Mytilus edulis: one gene and its partners. The protein of the gene in region 2 purifies or fractionates together with the protein of the main gene of each other region. This does not show direct contact. Links are inferred from orthologs where the notes say so. Each region holds a gene or a part of one and is shown on either strand. Other genes may lie near its edges.

The links. Proteins that work in one complex are often made in the same cells at the same time.
Region 1: the proteins of renin receptor-like (region 2) and coiled-coil domain-containing protein 115-like purify together in Homo sapiens (affinity purification with mass spectrometry; 3 studies listed by BioGRID and IntAct, counting the BioPlex papers as one, with this or other methods). This does not show direct contact. The link is inferred for Mytilus edulis from reciprocal best matches to the Homo sapiens genes ATP6AP2 and VMA22.
Region 3: the proteins of renin receptor-like (region 2) and V-type proton ATPase catalytic subunit A purify together in Homo sapiens (co-immunoprecipitation; 3 studies listed by BioGRID and IntAct, with this or other methods). This does not show direct contact. The link is inferred for Mytilus edulis from reciprocal best matches to the Homo sapiens genes ATP6AP2 and ATP6V1A.
Region 4: the proteins of renin receptor-like (region 2) and V-type proton ATPase subunit F-like purify together in Homo sapiens (affinity purification with mass spectrometry; 3 studies listed by BioGRID and IntAct, counting the BioPlex papers as one, with this or other methods). This does not show direct contact. The link is inferred for Mytilus edulis from reciprocal best matches to the Homo sapiens genes ATP6AP2 and ATP6V1F.

Annotation. Positions count from the first base shown.
Region 1 is NC_092356.1:55,207,649-55,215,354, reverse strand, and holds the start of coiled-coil domain-containing protein 115-like, read right to left. Parts: upstream 3,027-7,706; 5' UTR 2,954-3,026; exon of another isoform or gene 2,948-2,953; intron 1-2,947. Other genes in the region: F-box only protein 42-like, read left to right, coding at 3,378-3,528, 5,828-6,067, 6,472-6,575, 7,343-7,509. UniProt on the Homo sapiens protein: Accessory component of the proton-transporting vacuolar (V)-ATPase protein pump involved in intracellular iron homeostasis.
Region 2 is NC_092346.1:95,455,063-95,462,258, reverse strand, and holds the start of renin receptor-like, read right to left. Parts: upstream 3,011-7,196; 5' UTR 2,898-3,010; coding exon 2,837-2,897; intron 1-2,836. UniProt on the Homo sapiens protein: Multifunctional protein which functions as a renin, prorenin cellular receptor and is involved in the assembly of the lysosomal proton-transporting V-type ATPase (V-ATPase) and the acidification of the endo-lysosomal system.
Region 3 is NC_092348.1:77,322,711-77,330,080, forward strand, and holds the start of V-type proton ATPase catalytic subunit A, read right to left. Parts: upstream 3,027-7,370; 5' UTR 2,951-3,026; coding exon 2,948-2,950; intron 616-2,947; coding exon 519-615; intron 1-518. Other genes in the region: uncharacterized protein, read right to left, coding at 6,043-6,060, 7,314-7,370. UniProt on the Homo sapiens protein: Catalytic subunit of the V1 complex of vacuolar(H+)-ATPase (V-ATPase), a multisubunit enzyme composed of a peripheral complex (V1) that hydrolyzes ATP and a membrane integral complex (V0) that translocates protons.
Region 4 is NC_092345.1:53,515,525-53,523,405, forward strand, and holds the start of V-type proton ATPase subunit F-like, read right to left. Parts: upstream 3,027-7,881; 5' UTR 2,955-3,026; coding exon 2,904-2,954; intron 877-2,903; coding exon 795-876; intron 1-794. Other genes in the region: transmembrane and ubiquitin-like domain-containing protein 1, read left to right, coding at 6,328-7,166. UniProt on the Homo sapiens protein: Subunit of the V1 complex of vacuolar(H+)-ATPase (V-ATPase), a multisubunit enzyme composed of a peripheral complex (V1) that hydrolyzes ATP and a membrane integral complex (V0) that translocates protons.

The DNA.
Region 1 (7,706 bases), on a different chromosome or scaffold from region 2:
GGATTAGAACTTGTTTATTCTGATTGATCTGTTTAATCTATTTATCACTGCATGTGTCAAGCTATATTAATTCATCTTTATATAGCACATTTTGTTACTGTTAATTATTGTTTTTCCTTAATTTGGTAATTTTATGTTTACATGTAGAAAGTTACATAGACTATTTATTTTTCTAAAGAGTTTTTGATGTTGACTTTGTTTAGTTGATTAATCTGTTTATCACTGATGCGTGTCAAGCTTTTTTAATTCATTCACCGACGCGTGTCAAGCTTTTTTAATTCAATCTGTATATATATATATATAGGCATAATAGCACATCTGCTTATTGGTGATTGCGATTAATCATGATTTTATGATTTTATTGTATAATATCAGTGTTTTTAGTACAATGTAGTGGTTGGTGTTCAACAGTGTGCAGTGGTGTTTGACTTTGAAAAGACCCACCCCCAATTAACATGATTAACGTGAGACTTGCACATGTTCATGCTTATTGCGGCATTTTCCTTCCTTCTTAACAATTTTGGTCAAATCTCAAGCCTTTGTTTCATGAAAAATTTATTATCCTGTTGATCATTGTCTCTTTACAAACTAGTACTGTTAGCTGAAGAAGAGCAATTTCAAATTAATAACTAAAATGATGGTTCATTGTCTGTCATTTTTCTTCTTCCAGGTAAGGAATCAGATTCAAAGCTGAATGTTAATGGTTCTGCACGAAAACTTTACACAGTGTCGGGCAATACAGAAAGTTTTCTCTTGGCTATTTACAAATTACATTTACAACGTTCGCAAAAATATACACACAGGCACTTGTTTCTGTCAATGTGGGGTTTACTATCCATACCAGTACAAAAAATCTTTGTACTGGTATGGATAGTAAACCCCACATTGACAGAAACAAGTGCCTGTGAATATACAATTAAAATTATTTACAACTGGTTTTTCTTACTTCCTTTCAGAGCATATGTAAGACATAATTGTGTCCTATGAAAAAGTGTCCACATGGACACTTTTTCATTGAAATTTGGTATTTAATAATGTCCATTGCCATGGAATGGTGTCCCTCAAAAGGACAATTTTTACTGCTAACAACATGAAATAGTGTCCACTCACAGGACAAATTTTCATAGTAGTTGCTATTAAATTGTGTCCTCTAAGGGAAGTAATACAAAGGTCATTACAAAGTTTTATTATACTTAAATTTTAATTAAAATATGAAGGATTGGTGAGAAATTGATCAATATACAAATGTAATTTGTATATTGATCAATATACAATTTAACTATTGTCAGTTTATTGTCTTAATTTTGTATGCCATAACCATTTAATGTAAATGTGTTTGTGCGAATAAAATATTGTCTATTGTCTAGTGTCTAGTGTCTATTGTAAACAAATAAATAATGGATGGAAGTGAATATAGAGAAATTTAAGTTCTAAGAAATTCCCAACAAATGGTTATGACAATGAAAGAATAACAATAAGAAGGAAGTGTAAAATCAAATATGAAGAACTTTGTAATATTTATTATGTCAGATAAGAAGGCAATAGAAAACAAGAATGTGTCCTCAGTACACGAATGCCCCACTCGCACTATCATTTTCTATGTTCAGTGGACCGTGAAATTGGGGTAAAATCTCTAATTTGGCATTAAAATTAGAAAGATCATATCATAGGGAACATGTGTACCAAGTTTGAAGTTGATTGGACTTCAACTTTATCAAAAACTACCTCGACCAAAAACTTTAACCTGAAGTGGGACAGACGGACGGACGGACAGACGGACGAAGGAACGGACGCACAGACCAGAAAACATAATGCCCCTCTACTATCGTAGGTGGGGCATAATAAATAATGTCCATTGCCATAAAATATTGTCATTTAAGTGGACAGCATTTTACAGCAACAGTTATGAAATATGGTCCATCTGCTGAACAAATTTTCGTAGTGAATGTTATTTAATTGTGTCTTCAAAGGAAAATAAAATAGAACAGCATCTAACATGTATATAATTATATTAAAAAAAATAGATATGAAGATAAGGATGGTATGAGTGCCAATGAGACAATTTTTATGTCAAAGTAACAATTAATTCAAGTTCATAATTAAAGTTAAAATGCGTCCAGTAATAACAAGGCAATGGAATCATTTAATACTTTAATCATATCAAAAAGTGCCCTGGCGGACACAATGTCCTGTGAAAAAAATGTCCACCTGGACAATATTATGGTAGTGAATAATGTCCATGTGCATGGACACTTTTTCATACCTAAGGACATGTTTTCATAGGAAATTGTGTCCAGGACACATTTAAATAAGTAAATATTGTCAAAATGTGTCCAGTGGACATTTGGCCCAAGACCACAATTAATGACCCCGCTTTTCGTTGTCCACGAATATAGTTCCTTTTAATTAGAGTGTATTTTTCCTTAATTTTTTTTCTTTCCTTTCCTCACTCATTCCTTAAATCTTTTTGGGTGGAAATGAAAGAAGAGAGGTCAAATAAATTTTTGGAGGTTGTATTTTAACTGATTTTTATATGGAATGAGTGATTAGGTCAAGTGCAAAAAGGTGATATTTACAGTTTTCGGAACTTCTCTTGACTTGTCAATAGGGGTATGGATGTGTATTGGCTAAATTTGTAAAAGTGATTGCTTCAATCTTTCTGAATTTTGGATATATATTTGGACTAGGACAATACATTACACACACAAAAAATTGGACAAAAGTGCATGGTGCAATTTTTTTAATGATGCAAAAGGTTATAAAGAACTGATAGAGGAATTAATTGTGGTCTGTGGCCATTTTTTCATGGAGGACATTATTAAATCCTACACATGCCTTTAGGTATTTTTATCATGACAATCTACCCTACCAACTGTATTTTTATTTTGGAATAAGAATTGGATTAATCATTAATCAAAGCAATGGGTGATACAGTTATAAGACTTACACCTACAATACATCAAGATAATTTTTGCACAGGTCGAAATAGGATTTAAGTCATTTTGGGTAAACTCGCGAGAAGTATCGAAGGAAAATCACGCGGGAACAAATTAAATATCATATTTCCGGTGATAAATATATTTTTGTTTTGTTTTATGTTTATTCTTCTAAATCATGTCTTGAAGTTTGACTAAACTGAATCATTTGTTATGAAATATATTTTTTTAATGTATCTCGAGTATCTCCCATCAATAGTTGACCCTCAATATTCAAATAACAAATCGCACTTTTACAGTCGGTTCTTCTTTTGTCAGGGTTTTGTTAAGTCCGAAATTTCTTTTTTTTTTCATTCGGAGCTTTTCGTTACTTTTCATGCATCTTATGTTACAAGGTTTGGCATTCGTACAGCTAGCCAAATTCCTTACATATGTTTGGAAATGGAAATGGATTTCGACACTTGTTCATCTAATGTGAATATTGATGATCTGCCTGAAGAAATATTAGAGTTTATTTTATCCAAGGTTTCACCATATCGTGATGTCAAGTCATGCATGCTTGTCTGTCGTCGTTGGTACCGGTTAGCTGCAGGTAAAATAACATGAATAAAACCAAGGATTGGTATAGTCTATGCAAAAGCCCACGAGATTCCAATCCTTCTTACTATACAAATCCTTGATAAAACTAAAAGATTATTTCCTTAATTTATAAAACCTGACTTCGATTGCGATTTTCCTCATACTTAATGAAAGCCTTTTTATATTTCTGAAACTGTTATTTTTCAGACTTATATTTACATTGGTATTATAATGAATAGATCCAGAGATGCAATAGCCCTGAACCTTCATCCAGACAGCTTCTAATCTCTATATACCTTATCACTATTTGAAAATCTGTCAGATATTTTGTATTATGACGTCTGAATTTTAAGAGAAATTCAGCATAAATTTCAGTGATGTCCACAACAGTCCAGTAATGGCAGGCAAACAGTGATAAGGTGTTAAACAACCTTCCTATATTATTTATTGTTAATTTGTGCATGTCCTAGACTAGTCCAAATAATTATGACATCTTGAAAGGCTATTCTAATTTTTTTCTTTGACGCCTTACTTCGACGCGTCAAAGAAAAAAATTATTATAGCCTTTCAAGACGTCATAATTATTTGGACTAGTCCTAGATGTGCATGAAATAATTTGCCAATGGATTATAAGCAATCAATCAATCTTATTCTAATATTGAGAATTATCATGATTATACATGTATGAGAAGAAAAAAAATCACAGACAACTTTTTAGACTAACAAAATATCAAATGGATAATGAACAACATACCCCTAGAGCTGCAAAGGTCATCCTCAGATGTAAAACTGTCAAAGATCATAAAATTTCTGACCCTACAATGGAAAAGTGATTGTTGTATGACTTCAATTGTTTAAGCATAGCAGATGCTCGGATCAAGAGGTGCAGATCTCCAAATAATAATAATAATAATAATAATAAGAAATTCTTTATTTAAAGAGGGTAAACTCAGTTAGTTACAATAAACTAATCTTCCCTGAGGCCCTCACATACATGTACAAATTACAATACAATCAAAACAGATATTTACACATAGTTAATTTACACTCTTGTAGTTCAATGTATTGTTATTAACATAAGATATAATGCTGTTTAAGATGTATACATGTAGTCAAAAAATCAAATTTTGAAAATGAAAAATTAAAAAATATACAAATACATTGTAGCAAACATTTCTTATCAGGGTTGTGTTAGGTACTTCTTGATACTTTGCTTAAAAGTAAAAGTGTTTTGAGCTTTACGCATTGTGTGTGGTAGTCCATTCCATAAAACTGATCCAGAATAAGCAAAGGATTTCTTAAATAGTTCAGCTTTTGGCTTAGGAACTATCCGATTACCTTGAGTGACATGTACACCTCTTAACATGCTTAAGGAGTAAGGATTATTATCTGATTTCAGTTTAAACTTTTGAACTAGGTACATTGGTGCTTCCATACGCATACATTTATATAGAAGTAAATATTTGTGGTATTTTTTTCTATTGTCAGCTGTCATCCACCCAAGTTTTCTAAATAAGGGGGCTGAGGGGGGTAAATCTGCATCTAGAATTAATCTTGCTGCCCTTTTTTGGAGTTTTAAAATTCTTGTTATCCGTTCATTTTTACATTCACCCCAAATAATACAGCAGTAGTCAATTAAGGGAAGAATATACCCATTGTAATATGTTTTCCTTGCATTTATATCTAAAAAATTCTTTATTTTAGAAAGAAGGTATGTTCTGGATGATATAGTAGGCTTATTAGCACAAACTTGGTCAATTTGATTTTTCCAGTTAAGTGTGTTGTCGATTTTAACACCTAATAATTTTTCACATGAAGAATTTTGTAATACTTTTGAATTTATTATCAAGTTTGGTTGACAGGTCTGAAATAGGGATAAGGTGTATAGAAGATAATAAAATAAAGCGAAGGGCGACAATATAATGTTTCTTCATATTGATTTTGAATTCATTGGAATCTTTGTTGTTATTTTAATACCCAACCAATGATGAATATGTAAACAATCATGACAATCCTTAAGAAAGTTTTTTTGAGTTACAACATGTACAATGTAGATCACATTCTATTTAACTGTATAATCAGTGTTTTGATGTGCCAGGTATTGCCATAAATTATTAAATAGATTAAAATAACAAAAATGATGATTTATCAATCATGTCAATATTGAAATAAAGGAGATGTGGTATGATTGCCAATGAGACAGTTATCCACCAAAGTTCAAATGAATTAGATGTAAGCAATTATAGGGTTTCCCCATTTCCATTTTCAATTTTACTAACCATGTTGTCAACAATAATCTTTTTATATCAAAGGTGTGACAAGACAACTAAGACAGACCTTTCAAAACTGTGTATATGAGAGTAAAGTGAAATGGACAAAAATTGCACCAGAGATCGATATCATACGGGTAACAGAAAGATACTCCCATTGTGCTTGTTATTATGACAAGTCATTGTATGTATTTGGTGGATGTACATCAATGAACACGACCTTTAATGACCTCTGGAGGTTTGACCTGGCAAGGAGAGAATGGATTAGGCCATTAGCAATGGGTAATTTTATGTAGAAGTTTGGATTTTACAAGCTGTTTTGGCCTATGGGGTCGTGTAGCAGTGTCACATGGTTACATTGATTATGGGGAAATTAGAATAGTATGTTTGATTTTCTCAATGCTATAAAGTCAAAGTATGGTTTTTTTGTTAATGTTGTTTTATTTGATATTGAAAATAAGTTTAAATGAAAAAATTATGATTGAACTACAAATGAGCAACTAACAGTAATTATTAATATAATGTTGAACTGCAAGGATTAATAAAAAGGGGCCTACACTATTGACTTTATTTTTCCAACTATAAATATAACATTTATCATTGAAGATTTCCTACATTTTTAGCCAAGGAGTAAAGAGAACATCTTTAATCATTTGTTAATCATATAACAAATGTTTTTGTTGCAGGAACCTATCCATCACCTAAAGCCTGTTCCAGTATGGTGGTATATAAGGACAGCTTGGTATTATTTGGTGGATGGAGTCATCCTACTCCTTATCCCTTACACCAGGTGGGTTATAACGAATTCGAAAAAAATCAGGAAATACAAAAAAGCATACTTTGTTGTGTGTAAGCTATTTATAAAGCTACAGATTGCTGTGCAAACTTAAAACTATTCATATGAAAATAATCTATTGTTGGTAATTCTTTCTTTATGGAATGTATTAATGGTCGGCCAGTCTTGACTTGTAGTATGAATATTTGTCTTATAGCATGTTCAGATTTTTTTTTTATTTTGGTTCAAAAATAAAATTTGCATGTGCTTGATGTATATGTTTAGACTGAGGTAATGACACAACTCTCCACAAAGCATGACAAGATACCATTTGACACAGAAATTAACAACTAAAATGTATATATGTCTCAGTCAGGCCTTCAACAATGAGGAAAACCGATGTACTATGGATTCATTATTATTCGTTGGATACTAATTTTTGTGGGTATAGGTGAACCACGAAATTAGATGAATGACAATTTTCCTATTGGAATGATTGGCATGTATGTAGACTTCAGCAAAACCACAAAATTAAGTATCCACAAACGTGCAAGTTTTCCTTGATCCACGAAAATTGACAACGGTGAAAATAATTGAATCCATAGTATCTGGTTTGAAAGCTGATTTTCAATAGTAAATATTTTAATTTATGACAGTAAATGTGTAAATTCAGGCTTCAGTGTTGGTTTATTTGTATTAAATCAAATACCAATTTTTTGTCATTAAATGAAAAGTAAAAAAAGATTTAGATTTTGACATGTTTGATGTTTCACCTTTTCCAGGCTGCAGGATTTTTCTATGAATTACATATGTACAAACCAGAGGTCAACAGATGGTACCTAGTGACCAGTATTTCTAGAGAACATCCACCACCTACAGCAGGCCATTCAGCTTCTATTGTCAAAGATACTATGCTTCTGTTTGGAGGCTCTAGTGTGCCTGGAATAGGGTAAGTTTATCTCAATCCCATCTTCTAAAGCAGGCCATTCAGCTTCTATTGTTAAAGACACTATGCTTCTGTTAGGAGGGTCCAGTGTTCCTGGTATCGGGTAAGTAATTCTTGATTCAGCAGGCAACATGTGCTCTATTGTGAAAGACACTATATCCTCCTGTTTGGAGAATATCATGTGTTCCTTGTGTAATCTA
Region 2 (7,196 bases):
TTGATAACAGATCGATCACTTCATTAGTTTCCAAGAATGAGCTCTGTAGGCAACCGTTTGACAGTGGATGTATATTCTGTGAATCGGAAGCATCGATGAACGGGCATAAATTCTCATCTACCACGTTGTCGGATCGTGTTGTCGAATTCATATCAAATGCTAAATCGGCGTCTATGATATCGGCTACGGGTTCTGCGTCCATATCGGCGAGTTGTATATACAAAATTTCTTATATAATAGAAAAGATTTATAGGAAATAACGCAATACAGTGTTTTTTTATGTTCATTTTAAATATATAACATGTTGTATAATCATTCTTATTTATAAGATATCTATATATATAAAATTCTGATTTGTAGAAAGTAACGCAATACAGTTGTGATCATTTTTTTGGTGTTTCTTCTAAATAGAAAATATGTGGTATAATTTGTGCTTTCTTAACTTGATATATTTCTGATTTATAGAAGGTAACGCAATATAAGGAAATGGCTTATTTCATATTTTTAATCACATACTAAAAAACTTTTCAATACAAGAACAGTAAAAATACCCAAGCATTAACAATATCACGAAGTGGCAACACCTAGCCGTAAGGCAGCAATGATTGTGACAGATATTCTTTTGATGAGACTGCCTTCAGATCAGACATGAATACTTTCATTTATGCTTGTCTTTCGAGAGGAGTATCAGTGGTATTCATGTCAGTTATGAAGCGGTCCGGGCCTTGGTATTGCACTCCCGATGAGCATACAGTTCGCCGAGAGATAGTGAACAAAATGATGAAACGCATAGCTCTTGAAAATCATTTTGTACATTATTTCAAGCCAACTAATGTTTATAGGGTGGAATACGAAGCTCGTGACGGGATACATTTCACTGAAGAGGGTTACCGTGCCTTCTTAGTAGCTTTGAGGAAGTCGGTCAGTTGGTTTATTAACAAAGTTAGGAAATGAACTGAACTATTTTCTCAATGACTCCACGTGCAATGTATTTTGTTTAAGAAGAGGGTTTTTTTTAACATCGAATGACTAAAATAATCCAAAAGTTCTTACATATTTTATAATTTACAAATTAGAATTTGCCAGAAGAAAGCTTTTTTTAACAGGAAAACTCAAATTAACTTTATTAAAATATCTTTTTTTAATAATTTTTTATTTTAAATAATCAAAAATTATTGGTGAAACATTGAACATTATTACCCTTTGACAGAAAACTAACATAGGATGTACATATTGTATATAGTTGTAAATATTTATTTGTGTTCTATTTTTCATTATTATAATTATTGGTGTTGGTAATGCAGCCTTGGTATACCAAGACAGTCACAAGCCTGTTTAATGCAGAGTGTCCATACTGTAATATAATTTCATTATCTCTTAATGATTAATTATGTAATGGGCACGTGTCAGTAAACAACAACCCAATTAACAATCTAACAGAAGTGTGAGGTAATGATTATTTTGTTTATTGGAACTAATTAACTCATTATCACTTTCAAATTATTCAATGTATGAAAATAAATAAAAGTAGCAATAAAAAAAACGTAAATACTAATTTTAGAAGAATATTAATTGAGTATTATTTTATTATTTTTAATTCTGATTTTTTAGTAATTTAAATTAAGTAAATTAAATACATTTTAAATGAAATAAGAAATAAATGAAATATAATAAACTAGGTGAAAGATTGTCTTCTTTGAAATTAAATATTTTATTTTATTTTTCTTGTACCATGTTTCACTCTCTATTAATAATATAAAAAACCCAATTTCGCATTTGTATAGCTTATAATAAAAGGTATGTATGAAAATTACTTACCTTTCTAACGCCTTGGCCATGTCATACTTGTTGTCTGTAAAGCAACAGTCCTTACAAAGGAACTTTAGAGACACATCTGACCAGGCCAATAACAATGCATCATCCATTGGGACACAAGCACTGTGAACCCAACGATCACAACAACTGCATTGAATGGTGCAATCAACACATTCTTCATCACATTGAACACACGGATATAAAGCCATTTTGAAAATGGAAGACAGCACACATGTATTCATGGCTTTTTATACAAAATTAAAGTGACTTGTAAAAACATTTATATTTGCCAATGAAAATCTTATATTTAGTTTTGAGAAAATTTTATTAGAATAAACATAAAAATCATCCATTCAGAAGCTTTGTTTTTATTAAAACAATCAATTATAATAATTTTTTGATTAGATTTGAATTGAATATGTGAAAATTCTTAATTACATTTTATTTAATGTTGAGTAAATTGTTATGAAAAGTAATTAGTGATTGGTGTAATTGCATTGCTTTGATGTACTGGTTAAATTTTCAAATCCTTTCTGAAAAACAATTATTAGACAATTCTCTGTATATACAGTAAATTATTTAATACTATATTTTCATAGCGTTTTCCTTTGAAGGCATATATGCAATCTTTCTTTTCTTCATTTCTTACGTTTTCCTTGGTCGCCATCTTGGAAGTACACACCGATATCCATAATTTTATAATGACCAATATTAACTTACCTGCAACTTTTTTTTTATTTTTAGGTTATAAAATACACTTCTATTATAATTTTATTCAATAATATATGTTTAAAAGTCACTTAAATGTGTTAATATTGATATTTGAAGAGTTATTCGGTAATTACATGAGTTATTCGGATAATAACACTGTTATCCGGTAATTCGAGGTACCGCTGTTGAACAGGAAATTAGTACAGATAAATGTGTCACACAAGTCTAATGCAGAATAATTAAGAGTCAAATAAGAATTAATGGAATTCAACAGCTAAATTAAATCTGTCTCTCACAAATTGTTACTCACAAATGCTTAAAATGGGCAAAATATAGGTTTTCGGTCGAAAACTCAACACTTTGACAGCCATGTTGAATTTTCATGTGATAATACTCGTTCGGATGTCTCTTGAGTTACCAACTAAATATTATGTAAATTCAAAGAATTCCGAACATGAAACGTAGCCGCGGATCGGATAAGTACACATACGAAAAATAAAGAATCGGCTCAAAAACACGTTCGCCCCCTTACGTGGTCGCCCCACTAATGTTGTAACGACTCGGCCCTATTTGATATTCTGTTTCCTAATAGACAGATAACGTAACGGTACCCAAATTGCACCTATTAAGCCAAAATAGTATAAATAATCTTACAAGATTTCCTAGAGACCGTAAACAATTTGTATTTTTATGATTTGATACCACGCACATCTTTCAACATAGGTAAAACTATTTAGATATGCACAAAACGTTCACAGTATTTATCAACAGGTGAAGTGTTTACTGAAAAATCAAAATGTACTGAAACGTCACCATGCGACGTCATCAAAACGTCATCTTTTTAAAATGATCAAATACAATATGTTACAAGTCTCCAGTTATAAAAAAAAATAAAGAGTAAGCATGGACTAACATCCAGTTGTTCAAAATATTTGAAGAAATTAAACAAAAGCTCTGTTATTAGAATTTTTACAGTGCGAATTTAAGCATGGATGCAATTTGGATACTCCTCATTTCAGAATTATTGATGGTTTGGGGGTCAGTTTAGACCAATTTTTCTATGATTCCATATGGATTAACAATCAAATTGGTGTACCTATATAATAAAGAAGGATACGGCTACAAAATAAACACAGAATGGATTTTTTTTTCTTTATCATAAAAAAACGTAGGTGAAAAAATGGTCAAAATAGGTGCAATTTGGGTACCGTCATGTTAGATTTATTTCGGTAAAATACCAACCGTATTAACTTTAATAAAAAAATAGAGTGGAACTTTACACATATTTTAATTGTTAATTAGAACGTATCAATTTAATTTGTCAGTTGCGGAACAATTATCAGTTACAAATTGAATGTAATTTAATTTGACAGTCTGGATTCTTCTATACTGACCAGTTGTCAGTTAACCTGTTTTCTTTGTTAGTACTAGAACACACCCGTGATATCGCGGGTCCGTGACTGAATTAAAGTATATAACTATGCGCAAGCATTATTTTAGTATTAGTATTGTCATCTGATAAAGTCATGCCGATTATAAGATACACAGTTTTCTCTGCTTTCAAATTTTTCTGTTTGAACCCGTCGAACTGTAACTTATTTTTTTGGTAATATTAATTATTTGGAAAACAAAAGGTCCTGGAATGGAGTATTTTTTAATCAACAGCATTGTCCTATATTAGTTATAAATAAAGTTGAATTCTTTGATTCGCTGTTTTACGTCATGCCCGCTAACAAATTGAAAACTGTACCTATATACGGCTTATTTTTAGTCCAGTATTCGTATTGTTATCTTAGAAAGTCTTACTAAATAAAATAGTACAATAGGTAACAATTCGACAATTTAGTAGTGTCAACCCTGTGATCATGACCCGTGTATATAGCATATCAATCCTGAATACACCGTTTGTTGGTGCGCCTGTCAGATGCGGAACGTACAGATAAGGTAATAGGTAACAGGTGAATATACTATTGGTATCGGTATCGGACTCGACCCGGAACTTCTTAATTATTGGCAATATTAATTACGTGGAAAACAAAAGGGCCTGGAGTGGTGTAATTTTTAATCTACACCTTAGTACTATATTAGTTATATATAAAGTTGAATTCTTTGATTCGTCGTTTTTACGTGATGACGGCTGACAAATTGGACCTCGTAATTTTAGTATTATAGATACCTCGATTTCTATACATTTTTTTTTATGGATAGTGATTTTGGTCACATGTTCATTTTTTAGGGGCATTTCTGTTGTTTATGCACTTTCTTTTCAATTTACTCACTGAACAGCTAAATATCTGGGCATTCACTACAAGCGAACTGAAAATGGTCAAAACATACAGACAACATAATAGCTAATGGCAACAAATTTTAGGGCTTCTTGAAAAGAAACTTAAAAACACCATGTCAGAACATCACTGAAACTCAGGCATATCTAACACTTGTCCAACATAAGTTACCTGTACCCTTGTGTTGCCCAAGGGACGAAGAACTAATATTGTAAGTCTATCTTTACTAACTTCCAGCTATTTTTCCTATTCTTTTACCACTGTCTCAAACACCATGAACACGGTAAAAGCAGTACTCAAAACAACCACCCTCATATTATTTTTGGCTAATTGTGTCAAGCTAGATTTAATTGTCAACTGCAAGACTATAAGCTCAAACAGAAACATCAAAGTAAATAAAGAGGCACCAGACAAATCTTGGTCAGTAACAATATCAAACCAAGAGACATGTAAATCAAATATACACACAACATCAATGATTATACTTACAAGAAAAACTAAAACTATCAAATATGATAGACTGGTATTGACATACCTATGTAGCATTCTCTTAACAAACTTGTATGCACTAGAGTCAAACCCTGGTCCACCAAAAATATCCACGTGGATCCTGCAATAAAGCCTGCACTTGGAAACAAAAAGCAGTATGCTGTGACAGCTGTGATCAGGGTACCATATAAATTGTCAAGGTATCGACAATAAAATGTATAAAATACTTGACAAAAGCAACCTATCATGGGAATGTATAAACTATGGTATGCCAAACTTTTCAGCCAATTTTTTTAATAGCACCATACTCACTGGGGTAAAGCTGATGACCGTAACTGCATTCACGGTCATCCCAAGATGTCGGATGAAAAATTAGGTCAGTTTCTGTATTGTCTATTAAAGTGTTTCTATATCATTTTCTTTACAAATCATACATTGAAACGATGAAAATTAATAAAAGAATCACTCGGAAATCACTAATTTCTTCCGAGAAATGTGCATGAAACGGGAAATTCGATTTGAAAAAATCTTGAAGATGACCGTAAATCATAATCAAAATATTTTCAAGATGACCGTAACATATAACAAGGATGACCGTAATTTGTAAAGACTGACTGGTAATTTATATAGAACGACCGTAACTTTTATAGGATGACCGTCAATTCTAAGAAATATCCGTATTTGTATTGAAAGCTTTTTGTTGAGTTTGTCGATCGCAATAGGGGCTCGGTTGGCGGATATAAATATGTTAAACTATAATATAATTGGCCGTATTTGGGATTTATGACAATGATAGTAATTTTTGCATATTTCTCGTAAACAATGAAATATTTATTGATAACGACGTTAAAATTTTAACACAAATTGACAGCGATACGACGAAAATTTGAAGAAACATGAATGTGTCCCTGGTACACAGATGCCTCATCTACACTATCATTTTCTATGTTAAGTGGACTGTGAAAATGGGATAAAACTGTTATTTGGCATTAGAATTAAAAAGATCATACCATAGGGAAAATGTGTACTAAGTTTCAAGTTGATTTAACTTGAAGCTAGACAAACAGACAAACAAACAGACGAACGGACGAACGTACGCCCAGACCAGAAAAACATTATGCCAATTAATGGAGCATGAAAAACATTAATAATACATATGGATATTCGGTAATCGAGCCCATGTGTATGGTTCCAGAGCAAGCAGATTAAAATCTTAATTTGTCTTGAAATATGCAGGCGGAAACACTCTTGACATAGAACAAAAGAATCGAAGCTCTTTGTTAGAGAAGGCGATAAATGTTTACTGTAATGTTTACTATAGTGACAAAATTTTTAAAAGTTAATAGAAACAAATACAACGACAATTTTCTTCTTAATTACGAAGTGGTTTTTTAAAAAAAACACCATTTGCATAAGTTTTCAATTTATCTATTACATACTAATGCAAAACACTAAGATATCAAGTCGACGACATGGGTATCTGTAAGTTGGATGTAGAAAATGCTTAACCTCCGATTTATTTAATTTTTTTTAACGAGGGACGGAGAACATATCAATCTTTTAGTTCAGAAGTTTCGTGTCTGCCCTTTCATTATGTGAATCAAGAAAAAATTCCCAAAATAGGTAACGATTGTATCGAAAAGAGAAAATCAAGTGCACCTTTTTATGTTAGGGCATGTTTGAGGTGTATATTTTGTCTTTAAAACGTACAAACCAAAAGTATTTGATATATCATCTCGCTTCAGATTCTATCATTTTTATATATCAAAGCTACAGGTTGACTTTATAACGTAAAACATGACATTACGAAAAGATGAAAATAGAATATATGGGTCAAGTGAAATACCTATCTAATGAATCACAAAAACAGTGTGTTCGAATAGCTATTTTTTCTAA
Region 3 (7,370 bases), on a different chromosome or scaffold from region 2:
TTTTATTACATAATATGAAAGATGAAGCCTTGAACTTTACAGGAAAAATACTCCCACTGCTGGGAAAAATCTTTTAAGAAAGTATCAGTTCATTATGTCAAGCCATTATTACAGCATTTTTTCAACTAAAATAGATTTTTTTGCTAAATGATAGCATCAAAGGCATAAACCTTGCTACTTAAAAGAAGCAAAAAATTCATTTTCTTTCAATTTTACAAATGAAAAAATATTATTTAAACCTATAGATGTGTTTAAAATTTTGGTAAAATTACAAAATCACAATTTGTGACAAAACTTCGAATTTGCTACTCAAATTAGTGATTTAAAAATCACTTATTTCAGTAAGTCCCCTGACTGATGATAGCACAGCATTTAAACAATTCGTGACCTTGATTTTATACCTCAGAGCATGCTTCTTGAAAATTATATGCTGTGGGTCAATTGATACATTTAGGTTTCTCAGAATTGTACATCATATACATGTAACTAAAGTTAACATGGTAAATAAAAAAGGTTACCTGGTCCAGAAACAGCAAACACATTGCCAAACATAGATTCTCTTTCTTCATCTTTAATCTTTGGTAGACTACTCTTAGCTCTGTCTAAACCACCAGCCTAAAAATACAATTTTATAGACATTTGTAGTGAATATTTTTGCTCATAGTTTCTTAGCTAATAATTGTTTATACCCTAGTATTTGGAGTATTTTCACAACCCACTTTATCTTAATGTTACCATACTGATTGGGGTTTTTTTCAATAAAGAAAATTGTAAAAATGTAAATATGGTAAACATTCCTTTTTTATATTTTAGACATCTGCATTTAAATATGAAAGATACAAATATGACATTGCTTTAAGACATGTAAGAGGAAAAATGACAGTATGTCTGGTTTTCATTATATATGAGCTGTGTCCTTATGCAATGGAACTATACATGTACATATATAACTCCATATATAAGCTAAGACTTTAATTGGTTTTGGAGCATTCAAATATGAATTAAAAGATAAATTTTGGTTCCTTTTGTAGGGTTCTCATAACAACTCAATTTTAAATATTTACAGCCTTTCTGTAGAGATTTTTCAACTGTTAACAGATGTATTGGTATTCATTGGCATAAGGTCAATTTCTATCTGATATTATATTTAATAGTCACGATAGTGTCATTATGATAAAGAAATGAAGGGCAAAAAAAACAACATTGAAAAGCAATGAATAAATTATTCTTAAGCATGTTAAGTTTTTGCACAGAAACAACAGGAAATGGTATTTTCAAACCAACTTAGGACCACACCATATACAATGTATGCACGGCAGAATTGAAAAAATATCACAATTAAACTTAGCCTTCATTTTGATCATTTTGTCATCAGTAACAAAATATTCCAATTTGAAAGCCAGTGAGTTCTAAAGTTATGGCATAGAATCAACATAATGTACATTTTCTAATACACCTGCTCAATACATGTACATGTATATCATTATATTGAGTCCATTCCCAAAAAAAAACTAAGTCGTTTAGACAACTTCCTGAATCGCAAAAAAAAACAAAGGTCATCAGCATGAATGAGCTGTGTGGGAAAAAAAAGTTTGGAAAGCAAACATTTGAACATTTTTATAGTTTATGAAGCAATTTTTACAAGACAAATGAAAGTCATTAATTGCTTTGTTTGATGTGTTTACAATGGTTTTGTCAGTTCTACGAAAAGTTTTAAGCACAATATATTAATTGAACAAGGCCCCAGATAGCTTCAACTGTCAACTGGTGTGAAAAAGTTGGTGTAATTTTGGGGCAATGACCTAGGTATCATGGATATAATTCCTGAAAGGCAAAAGTGAATCAACATCATCAAAAGACATACATGTATGTCTGGAGTTCTACCTAAATTATGTTTCGAGATAAGATTGTACCGTCTAACATGTCTAAGCTTGTGTATGCTAGAAATATGATTTTTTCCCTATTTTATACTCCAAAAATTAAAGAAGCATAAATAATTGTAGATGGTAATTTTTTTCATAAATTTCCTGTTTACAAAAATATTAATTTTTCGAGAAGAACTAAGGATTTTCTTATCCCATGGCCATGCATTTATTCGCTTAGCCATATTTGGCACAACTTTTTGGAATTTTTGGTCCTCAATGCTCAACTTTGTACTTGTTTGGCTTTATAACTATTGATCTGAGCATCACTGATGAGTCTTATGTAGACAATATGCACATCTGGCGTATTAAATTATAAGCATGGTACCTTTGATAACTCTTGGATATTTCTATCAACATGATCAACGACCTGAAAGACCTTCAACATCAAAGTTAAGTGGTTGATAAAACCCTTCCCAGTTTTTCGTTAGCTTTCAAAATTTTCAGAAACATTATGAAGGCATCTGATTTCCTGCAAATTTGTATTGAAGGAGCAGATGATTTCTTGCAAATGTGTATCTGATTACCGAAAAGGATGATCATGACATGGGGATAAATGGGAAAATCCTGTTATAATAACCTTTTGGATCTCATCTAGAAGCAACTGCCTCAATTAAGTATAAAAAACAAGACATACTATAAAATCACTATTTTTAACTTGGTATCATCATGAATATATATGTAATAGTTGCCACTGGACATTACACTGTTACAGTCATTAAGAATACAACATTAATTCAATCTCCTGGTAAAAACCTGACAAGTTAAATCTGTTATGAGAATTCTAGAAAATAGATAGTTTAAAGACCTTTCAAATGCGGTCATTCATCAATGGTTAGTGGTTGTATATGTAAACTGTCATGACTGTAGAACCAAGAAACCGGCAAATGACTTCGAGTGGCTACATGGTGCATTTAGGATTCATGAATAACACATTTCTTAGTCGATCTTTGTAGAACTTCAATTGTTTTGTGGTGACTGTTTAACATATGTAGTATTCAGCCAATTCTTAAATAAATACTTACCATTTTGCAATGAAATATTGGATTTGTAAAATTATCATGTGATAATCGATGTCTTGAGAGAAAACGACTTCCGGTTTGATAAAAATGCTGAAGCGGTTTTGTAATAATATAAAACTTTATCGGCGAATAACGAATACCGATCCGGATAAATTAATTCAGTTGTAAATTTATAACAATTTCAAAGTAATCCCTTTAAAATATCAATGCTTATGAAATTACTTCAAAGTGGCATTAAATATGTGATATAAAATATTAAGAAAAAGTTTTTTTTCTCTCAATCTAATGAAAAAGTGAAATAATATGATCAGAGACATATAATACAATTGTATTATATGTCTCTGATATGATTCGCTTTTAAGTTCGCCGGATTTTGACTGACTTCAATTGTCATAATGATAATCAGCTTAGAAACATCGTTGATAGATTATTCGTCCTCCTTTCCCGAATGTTACCTACCGAATTAGAGTGATTTCTAGGTTTTTTAGACGAGGAACACATGTATATTGACTTTATACTAACATGACCGGCATAACGGGTGCCACATGTGAGCAGGATCTGTTTGGTACCATCCCGGAGCACTTGAATGATTGAGTCGATCCACAAAAACTTATTCGTAATTGATTTAATAAAGTTTCTAGTTGATTGGTTTATCATGAGACAAAAGCTGTTGTCAATTACATAAACAATTTATAACTTATATAATCCAATTATTTAAGCATTGAATATTCAACTGTAGAGAAGTCAATTATCTTTGAAGTTATAATAATTTAATCCACGAATACGAATACGAATATTTTATTCTCATAAACATATAACACGTTAAAAATAAAAAAGGGAAAATAAATAATTCCCATTTTGGCCCAGTTTTGATATTAACTTTTTACATGAAGAATATGTACATTAATTTGTACAACAGGGACATTAGATACAAAAATAATCATCAATTCTATAAAATTCGTCAGATTCTTTTCATTTTATTTGTAAGAGAGTTTTGATACTCAAATATAGTTACTTCAATTTGTATAAAACAGATTTTCTCCACATTATTTGGTACGTTTACTTCTATAACAGTCTTATCTAAAGAGTATTGACACTCTTTGTTGCATGCGGTTCTTTTATTTCTTTACTTCAAGAGTACGGTCTAGTACTATGAGTAACATTTATAATACCACAAAGTATTACTTTTCTTGTTATAGCTCTTTTTACTAAAGAGTATCAATATTGCTCTCATTTTTTAAGAGTAGCAATACTCAATAAAGCGGTACCTACCTCCAACGTTAGAAAACTCCGGTGATTTTTTTTTCTAGAACCATTTTTTAGCATCTAGACTAGAGTTTTTTTTCTGACAGAGTATCGATACTCTTTGAAACTGTTTTCTACTTTAAGAGATTCGAAATTCTTCAAAACAGGTTTCTACAATGAACATAATGATAGTATTGATACTTTTGGAAATAGGTTTCTAAATTGAGAGAATCAATATGCTTTTAAAAGATTTTCTACCTTGAGAGTATTGGTACTCTTTTAAACAGTTATCCACCTCGAGAGTATCGATACTCTTTTAAATAAGTTTTATACCATGAGTATATTGAGAGTATCGATACTCTTTGAAAAGGTATCCACCTCGAGAGTATCGATACTCTTTTAAACAGCTTTCTACTTTGAGAGTATCAATACTCTTTTAAATAGGTTTCTACCATGAGCATATTGAGAGTATCGATACTCATTTAATACATGTTTCTACCTTGAGTATGATGAGAGTATCGATACTCTTGTAACACATGTTTCTACCTTGAGTATGATGAGAGTATCGATACTCATATCTATTTTTCGTTTTTAAAAAACATGGAAAGATTTGAAAAAATAAGGACTAATATAAGACTATCTGAGGTATGTATTGCTTCCTTCGATCCACAGATACGAATGGAGTACACTAAAAAGTCACAAAAGTTGAACTTTGAACATTAAATCTTTTAAAGCATGACAGTGTATAGCATCTTGATGGATTGAGTGAAGTTCTCAAGAAAACATGCAACCAAAATGTAATAACCCCTGGCGTGAGACGGACAACAACACATTCAAATGTATCACTTCTAAGTGGTAAAAACAAGAATATAAATGAAGTTCATATTTTTTATAACCTAATAACATGAACCCCATCAAAAACAGGCGGTATCTCAGGTGCTCCGGAAGGATACGCAGATCTATTCCACATGTGGCACCTGTCGTGTTGCTCGGGTTAAAAGGGTCTCAATGACTATCAAAACAATCGAATATATTTTTATATTATCTTCAATATCCATCTCATCCTCATCTCCTATTAGGAATATAATAATAAGTAGTAAGGGCCATTGACAAAAAAAGAAAGATTATACTTTCATAGAACATTTTATAAAGATAAAGATGAATAACCTTTTATGCTTGAAAATTCAAACTTTCTCAAATGTATTATAACTAGATCAACTATGCCACACGCTCCAATAGTTAACCTATATTCTGTATAATTCCACGTTTTATGCATGCAAAATATTAGAAAAAAAAAACCAAATAAATTCATTGTTGTATATAAGTACATATTTTATTGCTTGATCATTATGAACGCTATTTTGAAATAAAGATTAAATATTATATCTTGTATTTTGTGTGTAAACATAACAATTTATAAATCATGTTTGCTTTGATCATGTTGATATTAATAAGTTAATCTGATAGGATTATTGTGTATAATTTAACGAAGACCAATCAAATAACATGATAAAAACAAAAACAAACAAAACGAAGAGAAGAGAAATGAAATATTATACATCGTTATACAATATTGTATCTGTTTGACAACTGCACGTTAGAAATAATTGCCGATAGTAATCGTTAAGCTCTGCCGTCAATCCAAGTACGATTGATGCCAGATTTTGATATTTTACTTTTAAGATGTGTTCTCAACAATATTTTCTGCAATGTTTTATGAATAAAAAAAGTTTCACAACACATATGTTCGAAGATGGATGGATAATAAAGTTCCTCAAGACTGATTTCCATATCTGGATTAAAAGGTCCATCAATACTGATTTCTTCAGATCGTGTGTACGTGTCCCTCATCATCAATTATTGACAATAATCTGAAAAAAATAAATGTTATTTTTTTGACAAAATGTTATCAAAATACATGAAATATTTGCAGATGTTGCGTTCTGCAATGACTTGCATTGTATATTACTGTCTGAGAAACTTAAGAAACCGCTTAACAGTAAATAAAGGCAACAGTAGTATACCGCTGTTCAAAACTCATAAATCCATGGACAAAAAACAAAATCGGGATAACAAACTAAAACAGAGGGAAACGCATTAAATATAAGAGGAGAACAACGACATAACACTAAAATGTAACACACATAGACAAAATCCCACGAGAATATAAAACTGTCTAAAATTGAATCTTTATCTATATATCAATTTGAATTAAAAAAAAATAGAACGGTGCATAATTACAATGCATTTAGGAACATGAAATTCAAGAACCCGATCATGTACCCGATATATATGCAATTTTTTGACCATCACAACCACTCTTTCAGAGGTCTGTTGAAAGTCAACTTTCTGGTCTATCTACTATAGTTTTCAAGAGTTGGTTTAAATTTTCCGACCTATACATGACGTGCTTACTCATATAACATATACCTATTGTATATTTTTTAAAGATTTTCTCGTCCTCAGTATGCACGTAATAATTGCCACTGGACGTTAAGCATGCCTCACTATATAAACAGATGTACGTGTTATTCTAATGGATAGTATTAATTGGTTAGCAGATCATTTTGTTTTAGTTTTTGAAATTATTCTGGTAAAAACAAATAAAAAATGTACAAAATTGAGCTTGACGACATATTCAAAAGAAGAAATGATTCGTATTTTCTATCATGTCAATATTTAATTTATATTTAAATGTGTTTACAGATACACATGTACGAATACACAAGCATGCACTATTTTCTTTTTTCGCCTTCTTGATTTTATTCTAAGCTTTGGTGGGTATTGACTTAACTTAGATCGAGAATGGACGAAAAAGGCAATTACTACTTATTTCACCTTTTAAATAAAAACAATCAATTTCAAACAGAATACAAAGTGTGATATCATATTAGTATTCATGTTATATGTCATGCATGTATACAGGCCGTTGTTTTGTTCATTTTATTTACATGTACAACCAACCCATTGAGATTGTGTATGTATTTTTTATAACTTATATTGTTATTGCATTAAAATATTGACAAATATTCCCTTTTGTATTTTGTATTGATTTGATAAGAACACCTATTTTGTCATAAACACTGTGGAATTGGTCATATGATGCAACGCATAGATGACTTACCTCCGGTGTTTCCTGTTCGCCCACTAGAAGCTGTCTTACATCGGATGGCACGGGATC
Region 4 (7,881 bases), on a different chromosome or scaffold from region 2:
TTTGGTATTTCTAGAAATTTAAAAGTAGTTGATATCATTATAACCTCAAGGTATCCTTCTTCTATCAGTATTGTGACTGAATGGTTATATTCATTTTCAGTAGTGGATCCAGGGTGGAGGTGCATGGGTTGGACCTCCCCCTTTTTTGGACGATCAATGCATTTGAATGGGGCGATATTAATATAGTTGGAACTCCCCTTTTCAAAATGGCTGGATCCAACCCTGATTTTTATAGCTCCCCTCTGGCATTAACTTTTCAGGAGTGAAAAAAATATATGTTAAATCTAGGATAAGGTTTAGAAATTTAACCAATGTTAAAGTAAGGCATAGTAAGGAATGGGTTAGCATGGTTAGACCTCAAGATAGTTAAAAGATTCATGTAACTTATAAGTATGCCAAGGCTCTATGTTGGGGGTCTCATTGGGGGGGGGGAATCCTGCTTACTGCATTGTCAGATTCCTGTATCCTGCTTACACTATGTACGTATGCAATTCTCATTTTTTTGTAATTTCTCATGTCCTGCTAGACTTTATCACAATAATTTGACTTTCACATGTCACACTTACAAAAAAATCGTCAATCCTGCGTCACGCTTAGACCCAAATGAGACCCACTATGTAAAAGACTGTACTTTAACCTATAACGGTTTACTTTTACAAATTATGACTTGCATGTATAGTTGTCTCATTTGCAGTCATACCATGGCCACATCTTCTTATATCTACATACAATATACCGGTAATAAAACTTGTTAAAAAAAAATTAAAAGTAAATCAAATTTCTAAAATACTTACTTTTATTAACAACAAGAAAATTTGGCTCTCTTTTTTTATTCAACTCTCCAATTCCACCCAGCAAAAACCCAGTACAGGTATCCTGTAAAAAAATATCTGATTAGAGGCTCTGGACAAAATTACATGAAGCAGCTTAAATAACATTGAATACATTAAACATTGTACATGTACATTGTATTTTCTACAACCAGTTGTCATCAAGCTTTCATGAGCATGATGAGTGTAACAAAACATGGAGATGGAGTTTAAGTTCCAGTTTGTGATATAAAGTTCCAGTTATGGTCAGAAGTCTAGTTAGCCTTAATGTGGTATTGGCCTGTTGTTTCAGGGGCGAATCCAGCCATTTTAAAAAGGGGTTCCCAACCAAGAGTAAAGGGGGGGGGGGGGGGGGTTTCCAGCTATATGTTCTCATTCAAATGCATTGATCACCCAAAAAAAAGGGGTGTTCCAACTCCCGGAACCCCCCTCGATCCGCCAATGTGTTTTGCTATCACTATGTCATCAATAATAGGTCTTGGACTTAACTGTCTTTACAGGTTAAAAAAAGATCCTCATATGATATATTGATATTGGGTAACCTGGACAAACTCACCTCAGATACAATTGGGCAGATTTTTATATCTGTACAAAGATTTGTAATAAGTCAATTTAGTATAGTACATGTAGTAGTAGCTATTTTTAGAAACAAATGATTGTTTTAATAAAACTATATCATGTATATCTTAAAAAGCGAAGAAAAGAAATTTACATTGAAAATGACTTCATATATTAAATTCCTAATGACCATGACAATCATGACAATAGGAAAAAGAATAAAAAATTTCCGTAATTAAGTTGATTTTTTTACCAGACATAAGATCACATAACATGGATGTTGAGTTTTTTTTACAATAAATGTTTATATACTTTTTTAAAAAAAATCTATTCTGTTTGGATAATAATGTAATAATTCAATAGACAACTTTCGAGTTTGATGCATTTCCGTCAAAAAGTCTGGTTTTAGTGAACATCATTTGTGCGTTTAGGGGCATCGTCACTTCCATTCCAATGTTGAGCAAGTGGTTGAGAAACTATAATGTTATACTGTATGAATGATTAGGCAAAATAAATTATCATTATAATTTATAGAAAATCAGCACTGCTGTCATTTGGGAATTGTAATTAATAAAATTGAGAATGGAAATGGGGAATGTGCCAAAGAGACAACAACCCGACCATAGAAAAAAACAACAGCAGAAGGTCACCAACAGGTCTTCAATGTAGCGAGAAATTCCCGCATACTTACAAAACAAATATTATTTGTAGTTTATCCTGAACAATGACAATCACTGAGACGCTTGATGAAGGTTAATAGTGCAGGGATACAGGCGACCCCCTCTATCTGGTAAATGACGTCATAAAAGCGTGCATAATTGACTAGTTTTTTCTGGTGACAGATGAACTCGAAATTGGTCTATTATGACATCATAAACATGATAAAGTATTCTAAATTTTTGCTTTAACTTCTTCCCCTTTCACAGGTACAAAGTAACACGTCCAAATAATAATGATGTCTTGAAAAGCTATTAAATTTTTAGATATGATGCCTACCTGGTCATAATGACTTGGACTAACTAACTTAACACCAATTTGTATCACTAAATGCACTAGGTGACAATCTGTGACTGTGAGGCTCTTATATTTTATTTAGTCAGCATATATATACATAATAACAGACAAAAACATGAGCTCTGGTGAGCTCTTTGACTGACTATCACATAAAAAATCATGCAGCAACATGCAAATATTAACAAATAAAAATGAAAAAGCATGCAAATATATATAATGAAAGCAAAATTAAACATCATACAGAAAGGGCAACAATTACAAAACTAACAGTCCAAAATAATACTTTGATACTGTAAGATTAAGAGAGCATTACATATTTTGGCAGAGATAAATATACAGATATGCCATGGGTAACCATAATATCCAGATGGGGTTGGACATGGGCTACTCTATTTGGATATTAAGTAAGGAGAGTTTTTTGCGAACTGTATACTACCTCGCGGAACTACTTGTGTAATATTAAATGTTTTTATATACATAAAATAAAGTTTCTAATCTTACTTCATCCCCAATTACTGCAATTAATCTTCCTTTTTGAGCAGAATGAGCCATTTTCACATCATATGATACGATTTTTGCAAGGAGTGAATACTATCAAAACCAATTCCCGGATCAGGTTATGTTACTTAGTCCGATATATTGTTACGCATTGGGTGATAACATCGTGACTATAGCTCAAGGCATAGATATAATTATGTCGGCTATGTCTGCTCAGGCAGGAACAGATATATAGTTAGATTAACTGTTCCCAGCAACACAGTCAAACACACAAGATTAATTATAAAATAAATTTCATATTGAAATCTGTGGTTGCTTCATTCAGTACTGATACTATTATAATAATAACAGGGGCGGATGCAGGAATTTTCGAAAGGGGGGGGGGGGGTGCTAACCCAGGGCAAAGGCAGTGGCGGATCCAGAAATTTTCATAAGTGGGGGCCCATTGACTGACCTAAGAGGGGCCCCGCTCCAGTCACGCTTCAATGATTCCCTATATAAGCAACAAAATTTTTTCTCAAAAAGGGGGGGGGGGGGCCGGGCCCCCTGGCCCCCCCTCTAAATCCGCCTCTGAAAGGGGGGTGCAGGGGGTGCAAAACATATGTCCCGATACAAATGCATTGATCGGCAAAAATAAAGGGGGGTGCGCACCCCCGGAACCCCCCCCCCTGGATCCGCCACTGATAATAAACTGTGTTATAGTAGTCTCAGTCCAGTACAAGAAACCATATAGAAACGCAATTGTTACAAATGCCTCATGTTTACAAGTATTTCTGTTAGTTCTATCAGAGACATATAATACATAGTCTATGAGGTATACTGTAAATAACAAGCATATATTTAATAAAGGTTATTTTAAAATATGACTAATCTGTAGTAAACACCAAGTTGCTTATTAAAAGGGAACCCCCTACTTGTACTTAGTGCAGATGAGTCAAACTCCTAAATTATTTAAAATATATTTTAAAAAACTTATTTTTAATATTATAGATTCTGTGTCCAGCCAGCAAGGCTCAGCAAGGGACGGTGCTAGACTCGGAATTTGAAATTACTCTTATGGGTCTCTGCGGGCCGTTAACGGGGTACCCAATCATATCAAAGTCAAGAGTTAAATTGAAATTAGTTATTGCAGATTATGTTTTTCTTTCGATTCTTCAATTTTTATAACTTATATTTATAAAATGCAAATAGTACATTGGAATCCTCATTATTCATTATCCAAATTGATTTGTTATAAGTATGTAGTAAATATTGAAAGTTTGGGCATGATTTTAATATATAGTGCATCAATTCCTCTCTTTTTAATAAATGGATGTCACATTTAAATAAAAAATTTAACCTCAACCTCACTCGAGGTGCACCTGAGACAAATTCGATTTTGTCGGAGAGAACCCTGGTATCTGCCAGATTCACTATTTGCAACTTTGTGAGCAGATATTCTTAATCTAGTAATACATTTCCTTTGCTCAAAAAGTCGCATTATCAACAAATAATTTTCAAAACCAAAGTCGTTTTTTTTTTCAAAGTTTTATTTAGAGTCGATATTCAATAAACTACATAACACAAGCTCTAGTGAGCTTTTCAAATCGACTTAATAACAAAATACAATACACACACACACACACACAATACAATACACACATACAAAAGTCATTAAAACAACACAATTTTAAACATATAATGCATAGTAAAATACCATAAATGACATATATAAGTTAAAAGCATATAGTACACTTAAAACATAGCACAAGTTAATAATAAGATTGCACAAATCATATAATCACACAAAAAATAAAAGTAAAAATAAAACAGGCATAAACACTACAATTATGCATGCACTGCACTGGCATGAGCTGTTACTTGGATCCCATGTTTGTACCAATTTTTTGAATTGGTCCAAAGATGTTTCCATTCGACAATGGTTCGGTAGCTCATTCCAGATTTGTGTAGCATTATAGCGAAACGATCTTAAGCCATACTTAGTAGTTCGAACTCTTGGGAGTACTGCTGTTTCCTGTGATCTTAAATCATACTTGTTAATTTTTATATCAATCAAATCATGAAGGTATGTATATCTAGCTGTTTTTCAACAATGCAGTATAGTATCCCTTAACAATCAGACCCCAGTGTAATTTAAATGATCTTAAATGTTGAATATTTTTCTGGTATGTGGTTTTATATGCCTGACATATTTTCCCTTAAAATATTAATTGATCCATACCAAGAGTTTTTTTTTTTTTTTGTTACAAATAGCAAGGACGTATGTTAGTTATACGTCCTTGCAAATAGCAAGTTTAGAACAATCATATGCGCCCTTTAACAAAGGAAATGATGCAAATACCTTAAAAACGATGCAAATATCTTAAAACATGTTTGACTATGTCATAATGCAGAGGAAAACGTCATAATTAAGACAAAACTGCAAAGTTTGTACTTTTTCTATACCTAAAATATATTTTCAGAATTTAGTATGAAGTTTTTCACAAAGTATCCTAGAGTAGATTGTATCCACCGATAAGTTTTCTTTTTTATAAATGTGCAGTAAAGGGATTAAAATATCCCCAAATTTCACACCCATATAATAGTATAGGCTTTGTTGTAAGGTCAAAATGATGTATTGCATTTTTTAGTAAAATTATACATAAAATATTTCATTAATTTTGCGGATGCACGGTTTCCGTAAAATTTGGGTCTTTCTCCGTATACCGACAATGAATTTATTGTTGCCATCTGGTTTCCTTTTTGTTTCTCCTTTATTGCCTTTGCTCATAGGAAAAAATAATTTAAGCCAGATTGATAAACTATAGGTGGCGTTGTGTTTGACAGGTGTCGATGAAGACGAAGCGATTTGTTGGTCAATATTTACGAAAACAGTAAACAAACTGGTAGCGAATATTTTTAAAGAAATAGGTCAATCCACAAAGTAGTTTGTACACTTGTTCCAATATCTTCTAAAAAAGAAACAGTCCCCCTTGACCCACATTAATTTACACTTGTTAAAAAGTTATATTTTCATATCTGATGATCTTGTCCAATGATGAAAATTTCCAACAGGGATAGGCTGATATACAAATTGTTTTGACATTCATTATACGATTTGGATCTCCTGTAGTTGGTGAATACCAGTATTCATCAATGAGACATCTACCCAATGACAAAAGCAACCAATGTACGTACAGTCTACATCTTGATCGCTTCTCACAACCAAATGAATACAGATGTCCACATTACAAATGTATATGTCAAGCTCTAAATTGTCCCAAGTCTATGAAAGTTACATTGTCGAAATAAGCATCTGGTGCAGGAAAATTTGTACCGTTAATGTTTTTATAAATAAAAGATGACAGAGAAATGAGATATTTAACCAAAGATAATCATTGGTGTTATTAATTTAGATTTCTGATTTATTTTCAGGTACTCAAAGTGTATGTACCACCTGTACACAGATATGCCACTTATTGAAGGGATAGGAGATGAAGTTACTGTTGTTTTTACCATTTTTCTAATATTTCTACTTCTCTGTATTGCATGGTTTTCAACAAATATTCAAGAACTACCTTTCTTTAGTATCATTGTAATAGACTTCACAAGAAGACAGAATAGAAATGCGCAACAGACTAACAGTGTTGAAGCAAGTGATAGTTCTGCTGTAAGTTCTACCTCTAGTGAGGAATCAACAGGGGACACATCCATTCAGGAGGAGACTGACAATGCCAGTAGGTCCTCCTCTGTTGATAGTGTAAACGAACAAGTGACAGGAGCAGTAAGTCAAATTCCAGTTCAAACAGATGATGTATCAAAGACAAAAGACAAAAAAGAATCATCTAACGAAAATGTGATTACAGAAGAATCAGGGGAAGATAGGGTGTTAGAGGACAGAAATGAAGATAGTGATGACTTGCCTACAACAGAAACTGAACTGAGACGTAGAAGGGTTGCATTCTTTTCTGATAAAAATCAAGTTATAGAGACAAAAAAAGAAAATAAAAATCATGAATCAGAGACCATTGTTATAAATGACAGAAACCCATCAAATTCATCAAACAATGAACTTCCATCAAATTTACAAAACAATGAATCCAATAAAACAACTGAGTCTGTTAAAAATGAAACTGAAAATTTGAACAGTGCTGAAATAAATGTTTCCTCTGAATCGGAAACTAATTCTAGTCAGAGTGATAGAGTTCGGATACGACTGAAATACCTAAATGACACTCAGAGAAATGTTGAAGCATCTTTAGAGGATACAATTGAACAGTTTAGAAGGTATGACATATATATAATACACATATTTACACTTGTATGCATATTTGTCTGCCATTACTTTAAATCACACAAGTTGTTGTAAAATATGACATCACAAGTTTTTTAACCAATTTAGATCATAATTAAAAAGTGACTCACTGTTACTTGACATCAAAAGGTTATTTAGAGCAGATCTAAAGTTATTTGTAGATAAAATTCAGCTTAATATCAAAAGTGCAAATATGTTAACACCCTTGTTGCTTACTCTGTTTATAATTTTCAATACATACTTTATATAGTACTGTAATCAACTTTGAAGAACTGAAAATTATCCAAAATAATGTACATGTCACTGTAGAACAGTTTGTATTTCTAATTTATTGAACAATTTAAACTCCAGCTGAATTGTAGTTCTATATAAGACTTTTAGCATAATCATTATGATTGCAAATTTATGAGAGCACTCTCATCAATAGACCAAATGACTCATCAATTAACAAATATAGGTCACTATATGGCCTTCAACAATGAGTAAAACTCATTCCACAGTCAGCTATCACACTTGTAAAGGTTCTCAAATGACAAATGTAAAAAAAAATGAAAAGAGAATACTAATAGCCTAATTCATGTACAAACATGTAACACAGCAACATATAAAACCTCATTCATTACTTCAAATGACAAATGTAAAAAAAAATGAAAAGAGAATACTAACAGCCTAATTCATGTACAAACA